2 linked regions of the Astyanax mexicanus genome follow. The protein of the gene in region 1 purifies or fractionates together with the protein of each later gene. This does not show direct contact. Links are inferred from orthologs where the notes say so. Each region holds a gene or a part of one and is shown on either strand. Other genes may lie near its edges. The genes, in order: nek1 and cfap410.

Region 1 (3,934 bases):
GTCAAAACTTATATACTATATACGGGTTATTTATATGCCCTTTTTATGCCTTGTGTTTTTTCAATTTAAGAACTGAATTTGTTTCACCAAATGCGCACTAGAGTGCAGTAAGACACCACATAAAACCTGATGAACACTACAGCTCAATTTATCAATGCTTTTCAACTAGTTTACTCACACCACTCATCTAGCATTGCCATTATGGTCTTTATGGTCACGCTGGTCACCCAGCTTGGTTATGCTGGCCATCCAGCTTGGTCATGCTGGCCATTCACATTGGTAATTATGGTCCTGCTGGTCATTCAGCTTTGTCCTCATAGTAATGGTGGTCTTCCAGCTTGGTCATACTGGCCAACCACCTTTGCCATGCTGGTCATCCAGTCTGGTCATTATGGTCTTCCAGCTTGGTCAATATGGTCAACAAGTTTGTCATCCAGATTAGTCATGCTGGTAATCTAGCTTGGTCTTCACGGTCATGCTGGTCATCCTCATCCAGTTTGGCGATGCCGGTCAACCGGCAACATGTTTTAAGCCTAACTGGCCTCCAGAGGTCTCTTTGCCTGTAACGCTCGAACCCCGTAAATCGCCGCTTGCGGCTATATTATTATTATTATTATTATTATTATTATTATTATTATTATTATTATTATTATTATTATTATTATTATTATAGTACTTCTGTGTTCAGTCTCTTGTACCAGCCGGTGACGGTTGCTAGGAGAGATTTCCCACCAAACATTCACAACCTAACCCATTGTCGGCTGCGTGATCGATTGACAGATCAGCGGACCAATCAGAACACAGAACTCAAGCGCTCAACCAATAAGACAGCTGTGTTTCTTAATCGCGTCAGGCTATAGAGGCGGCTTGGTTGAGCAGAGTAACAGAGCTGAATGTGGCGGTTTGGAGCTGTAGGAGCTTCTTCACTCTACAGACGGGCAGGTACAGCCTTTCTCTTTCTTCACTGTTTAGTCCTCATATAACAGCGCCGGTGCCTCAGCAGCTGATGAACTGAGGGTTTCAGCAGCGGTATATAAGCAGCCATGTTAGCGGGCTGGCTGGCGAGCAGAAGACGGTAATTAGTTAGCTAGCGGTAAACTAACCAGTTAACAGTTGATCTGCTGCTGAGGATGATTCTTGTTAGCTAAGGGAGCGCTTAAGGGTCTGTGTTATGATCCTGCTGCACGGTTTGGTATCTTAATTGCCTAACCAATACTTTACCACGCTTTACCTGAGTGGGCTAATTCAGTAGTATCATCATCATCATGCTGCTGCAGCTGCACCCCCACACTCCTATAACTCCTCCTGTCGCTTTAAAACCGATGAACTAGATGCCCCCTCCTCTTATAGTCCTATATGGCCTAACGTTACACATTAACAGAATTTCGAAGTGCCTAATTGATTGCACTTTCAGACAGTAAAATTAAAAATATTTGTTTGCTGTAGCTCACATCTGTCTAGGTCCCTCCCTTTATAACTTGAGAGATAAAAGGCCATTGGATAATTATTTTTGACACATCATCTTTAATTCAGCAGCCCATTTGCACAGTGTGTTCTCCTGCTTTTTCGGTTGCTTTTGATTCCTTTCTTAACACACTGCTCTTTCATTTAATATCTCTATGTTGCCTTTCGTGGGTTAGATTCTTTCTAAAGCTCAAAGCTGCTCTGGTCAGTGCACAGAGCAGATGGAAATTGTAATAAGGTGCTATCTGGGAGTCTGCAGGGCGTCTATATTTAACCTTCGTTTCAATGGGAGGAACCAGAGCCCCTCCGCAGGGCAGTACTCTGGCTTAACGAGAAATAAACTGATTTATAACCCATACTGGACCAGATACAAGGATGTTCAAGTTAACTCTCGATGCCAGGCATTAAATATGTTGTGTAATGAGGTAGAATGGCTTAGTAATTGGGAAGTGAGCATACAGGATGAAATCTGCTTCACGTTTATTTGTTTATTTAGTTGTGTTTAGTTTTTGTGCTATGATGTGTATTAAAAAAAAAACTTTTTCACTGTTGGACATATGTTTTGATTGACTGATTGTTGTACATTGTACACATTGTACATTGTACACAGCTCTGAAAAAAGACTGGTTTTTAACTACAGTTTTCATGCATCTTGGCATGTTTCTTCTCCACCAGTCTTACACACTGCTTTGGGATAATTTTATGCCACTCATGGTGCAAACATTTAAGCAGTTAAGCTTGGGTTGATGGCTCATGATCATTTCTCTTCCTCTTGATTATATTCCAGAGGTTTTCAATTAAGTAAAATCAAAACAACTCATAATTTTTAAATGGTCTCATTTTTTTCCAGAGCTGTGTATATATGTTTTTTAGGTTATTAGATATTTACATTGGTCCCCAATTCCTATGTACTCCAGAATAGAGGTGTGTCATATTATACCGTACGCATTCATATTGCCAACATTTTTGTATATCGTAAACGTCATTATACCCTGAAATATCGTGCCATATCACCCACCCCTTAGTATTACATCAGGGTATACTTTAGCAATATTTGGCATGATGTATTTACTAAAGACAGATTATATCTGGCCAGTATCATTCATTTTACTTTAGTTCTGGATATATGGAGATATTTAAAGTGCATTATTAGTATCATGACATTATGGATCATTGACTTGTTACAAATCTGAAAAAATATCTAGTATCTAGTAGGGTTGCAGCGGTAACCGGTTTCACGGTATACCATGGTATTAAAATGCACGGTTATCATACCGTGTGTGTTTGCTTATTACCGGTAAAACGCAAGCCAGCGGAGAAACTCACCCGCGCATGCGCAACTCTGCTCCGCTTCAGCTGCTCAGCACACAGCGGTGAGAACAGCAGAAAGTGCATCAGACTAAACAAATCTCCGTCCGCCTAAAAAAAGGCTAAACTAAAATCAGCAGTGTGGGACTATTTCAGAGACCCGCCGAACGCACCCGAGGATGGTTATCCGATTTATAATCAATGTGGCCGTAAAGTCACAGCTAAAGGTGGACATACGTCAAACCTGTTCTCCCATCTCCAAGAACACCACCCCGCCGTGCAGCGCAAAGTATGTGTTTAGTTTATAATTTTAATCTGAACATAAATAAAATCTCTTTGTAGTCGTGCACAACCCATGCGGTAAGCGCCCGCAAAAGCGCTGAGTTATCCGAAATTTGGGCACGCAGGTACAGGCGTGAAGTGCGTGCTACGACGGATTCACGTGTCCGTGTAAAGGTGCTCGCCGGACTGGATGTGAAAGACGCCATTCATTTACATGCGTTAATTTTCAAATTCTGACGTGCCTGTTTTTCATATGTTAAAACCAGACTCAGAAATAAATCCCCTCTATCTGGTTATATACCAACTTGGCAGTAAAACGGACGTTTACAACAGTTGTTGATCAGACACTGACCCAGACTCAGACTCAGTTTATCAGATATTAAATAATTTAAACTTAAATAATTGTACTGAATAGTTTAAACACAGGATCTTTACTTCTTAGAGGACATGTAATGTGTGACACGTGTGTTTGTGTGTGTGTGTGTGTGTGTGTGTGTGTGTGTGTATATATATATATATATATATATATATATATATATATATATATATATATATATATATATATATATATATATATATATATATATTATATACACCCTTAATGACCTTAAGAGTAGTGGAAAAACCTGGTTTCCTTCACCTAATGGTGTACAGTTTATTTTTTTTAAGGAGACATTATCTATATAGTTGTTCCAGGTTTCTACAATAAATAGTTAATTGAACAAAAAACTTTGTTGTAATTTCTTTAAGGGTCAGTTTAATAATATATGTAACAAACTGTGATACCGTGATAACCGTGATACCGCGGTATTTTCTGAGACGGTTATCATACCGTGAAAATCTCATACCGTTGCAACCCTAGTATCTAGTAATATCTCAG
Region 2 (3,934 bases), on another chromosome or scaffold:
AAGGCGATACAATTCTACTAATGACTATTTTTTAAACTGTAGTGTGGCTGAATATGGTTTGGAACACAGCCCTGCTAAAACTGAGCATCAAAGAGAAAAAGTGTAAGCAGATCTGCACCAAGACCATAATAAAGTGTGCAATGCTGACACTGAGACATATTTGGGTAAACATTTCTGTACTTAAATATTGTTTAAAAACTATTTCTACTACTAGCCAAGACATGGACTGAAATATTTAAACATTCCAGGCTTTAAATTAATTCAATTATGGTGTTTAGCTAGATTTAAATGATATGAATGTATGCTGAAATGTGTCAGAAACCGTATAAGAAAATCTATGCAGTACCTAAGAGAGCCTGAATTAAATATGTGATGGTTAAAGCCTGCAGAAGGCACATTGCTGGAGTTTTCCATTAGATATTAGCAACTAACATGCTACAAATGCCCTTAGGCTTTACGTGTATTATTTTAGTACACTGGGCTACATCAATTTCACACATTATATATACATCGTCATGTGTATATTTAACATATACGTGTCAGAGACTTAAAGCACTTGATTATTAAATTATGTGAGTATATTTAAAACAATCCAAACCTACTTGGTCTCCTCCATACTGTAATTAAGGGGGTCATTCTCAGAGTCTGCTTCTGTAAGGCCATTGGTGGAACAGGCTGAAATGGGATCTGGAGGGGTGACCATTTCTTCACCTTCTTCCAAAGCAATTGCAAGTTCCTCCTCTGTCACAACTTGAGAAATGAGATGGTTTTGTTAAAAGAACAGTAGTTTGTAAGATAACAACAAGTGAAAGCATGTAGTGGCCATGATATGTGTGCTGACATTCTACTTGTCTCAATAAAAACTGAATCAATTACTTGACAACAAGCAGAAAACAAAACACTAAAACACTGGGGTCTTACCCACCCTGGTTGTCCAGTTTGTGCAGGCCAGGCAGATTCTTCAGCACTGTCAGACGGTAGTTAACTGGGTCATCTTCACAACATGGATTCTCTGCCAGCCACAGAACCTTGAGGCTGGAAAGGTTTCGGAGGTGGCTAAGCTCTGAGAGGTTCTGGATGTTATTCCGCCTCAAGTAGAGCTCTGTCAGATTCTGACAGTTGGAGATGTGTTCCAGGGAGGATATATTATTGGCACTGAGAAGGAGAAATAGATCAAAATTATGACATTGGATAGATGGAGTATAAGCATAGTGGTTTAAATTGTTTGAAGTAAAGTATAGCCAACATACCTTAATGTTAAGACCTCAATGTTGGGTATTTCTGAGAATATTGAGATCTGAGGATGTACACAGTCACAATGAGATATAGAGGTATAAGAATGTATAAAATGTTGTTTTAGGAAAAAAAGACTAAAACATGTTGAATAAGATACACTATATAATACACTAACAAACACATGAACACAGTACTTACATCTGTCAGGTTGCAGCCCCTGTAACATATAGATAAAGTAAGTAACATTAAAGCTACAGTATTTTTTTATTTTTTTTAGCTTTTTTCGTGTATCTGAAGATTTACAGTACACACAATAATGAATACAAAGGCCATACCCTTTAGATGAACTATTTCAGATGTAAAATTAAATAACAGCAAGAATAGAGTATAACATCACTGTAATGCAGTCTTTTCTCAATTTTGTTTTTTTTTTTCTTCCACTTTTTGTCATAAATCAAGCAGTTGAAAACATTTATTGATGAATTTGCAAATATAAAAAAATACAATAAAAATTGCTTTGCCTGGACTGCGACTGAGAGTTAAAAAGGTTTATTTATCAACGTTTATTCAGCATTTGCACAAGGTAAGAAACACAAGGTTGAAGGGGACGGCTTACAAATAAAATTAATTGTGAAAATGGAACCTGAGTTTAATTATATGTATAGAGGAGTGAATACTTTTGGCAATATAGTGTATGTTAGATCAAACATAGTCAAATATATTGTGATTGTATTGTTCATGTATATAAGTTATTTGAAAGATTAATAAAGTGAAGCCTAAACATTTTACCTGCAATGTGAATGAAATGAAATTAGGTCCATAACACATTATGTTAATAATTTTAGGAAGAAGCACAAGACAAATAATTCTTATGTAGTGTTTTAACTAGTTAACCTTTCCTGTGGTTCACTGCCATTTTTATTTGGTAAATTAGCAGGTAAAACGACTTTCAGCTTTTTATTATCGTGATAAATCTGTATCGTATCGTATTAATATTATTACTTAGCTGTGGCTGTATCGTATCGTGCTGTAAACAGGCTTCAGACCGTTACTAGGACACCCATCATGTTTGTTAGCTAAAGCGTTAGCGAGCTGCTAAACACACACAGCTAAAACATACCAGCAGTTCAGCTTTTTCACACTCTCCAGGTCCGAAGCTTTGGCCCGCGCCAGGACAAGTTTCCGAGTTAATTTCATTGTAATTGTATAGTTTATTTCACTTTATTTGCTCTAAAATGTCCAAGCAGCAGCAGCAGCACGTTAGCACAGCTGCCATCGCATCCTTTAGCCTACAGTCAGGAGTCAAAAGTGCGCATGCGTGCACATGCACCTCCAAGCATAGGCGCTAGATAGCACTATTGTACTGAGTTTGTGCTCCATTATAAATATTATCATTATTATGTTCAAATCATTTTTTAGGCTTTGTAATCTAACTCACCCAGCACACTTTATATCATTTATATCATCACCTCGCTTTAAATTGTTACTTCACATCTCTGCCTCTTGGTTGGTAAAGGACTTTTTTATTTTAGTTTTTATTGTATCATTTTAATAGCTTGGAAAAGAAAAAAAATGTGAAATTGAAATTAAAATGTAAAAAAGTAGCTTAAGCATGATATATAACAACTTCTTTTTTTTTAAGATTTCATTTCAATTTCATTTTCAAAGCTATTAAAACTAATTAGAAAAGTTATGAAAATGAAATAAAAATGGAAAAGAAGTAACTAAAACATTGTATGTGTAAATATTTAAACATTATAATGTATATAATCGTACATAAGGACAGGTTTAATTTTGCTTTTAATAAACAGATAAAAAGTGCAGTACTTTATTTGTATTTATAATATACTGGTAGGGTAGTAAAAATCTTGCAGCAATCCCTTCATTCCAGTACAATGGACACACAATAGTTAACAATGGTCATGCAATATTATAATATTTTATAATTAAAATATTTTAACTATTTCATTTTAAAGGCTGCAATGAGCCTGCTTCAATGCAAAAATATTTTTACCCATTAAAACACTCTGTCTCAGGACAGAGGAGGTTCATTCATGTTCTGTGTAGCTTTTGAGTAAATTAAAATGTAAAATGAAATGTTCTTCAACAAATGTATTTGCTATTAATAAATCAATCAATAAATAAATAAAAATAGTATTAACACAAATATCACTCTGTACTGTCCTGTACTGGTGTGAAGGCCCTGCAGAAAGGCTTATCATCATGAAGAGCCTGACATGTGTTATTAGAGATAGAGGCTCTCCTGCCCCACTTAAAATCCCTTCAGACACTTCATATTACATTTTTTACATTCTCGTCTGGTGTATTATTAACCCATGCCTTTGCAAAACGGAAATAAATAATAACACCTGGCCTGTACAGCAGCTTTATATAAAGTTAATAACAAATTAAATATTACGTTTAGGCATTTCATTTATTTATAGTGGTTTATTGCGTGTACATCCAGATCAGCTCTGCATTTTTCTATAGCATATTTTTCTATGCTGTTTGGAGTATGGTTGAAAATATTTTAACTATTTAATGTGTGTTTTTTATTATGCAGTGAATATTAAACCATCACTGAATGAAGAATGATGCAGTGATATGCCACGCATTGCACTAGCAGGGGGAAAAAACGTGCAGAACGTGCAGAAGCAGACAAGTGATGGCAACGATTCAGTTTACTGAACCGATTCTT

Evidence for each region.
Region 2: the proteins of nek1 (region 1) and cfap410 purify together in Homo sapiens (affinity purification with mass spectrometry; 3 studies listed by BioGRID and IntAct, with this or other methods). This does not show direct contact. The link is inferred for Astyanax mexicanus from reciprocal best matches to the Homo sapiens genes NEK1 and CFAP410.

Annotation. Positions count from the first base shown.
Region 1 is NC_064408.1:51,274,382-51,278,315, reverse strand, and holds the start of nek1 (serine/threonine-protein kinase Nek1), read left to right. Parts: upstream 1-829; 5' UTR 830-942; intron 943-3,934. UniProt on the Homo sapiens protein: Phosphorylates serines and threonines, but also appears to possess tyrosine kinase activity. Involved in DNA damage checkpoint control and for proper DNA damage repair.
Region 2 is NC_064423.1:30,242,002-30,245,935, reverse strand, and holds the start of cfap410 (cilia and flagella associated protein 410), read right to left. Parts: upstream 2,556-3,934; 5' UTR 2,434-2,555; coding exon 2,357-2,433; intron 1,454-2,356; coding exon 1,435-1,453; intron 1,298-1,434; coding exon 1,251-1,297; intron 1,156-1,250; coding exon 926-1,155; intron 751-925; coding exon 603-750; intron 1-602. UniProt on the Homo sapiens protein: Plays a role in cilia formation and/or maintenance. Plays a role in the regulation of cell morphology and cytoskeletal organization. Involved in DNA damage repair.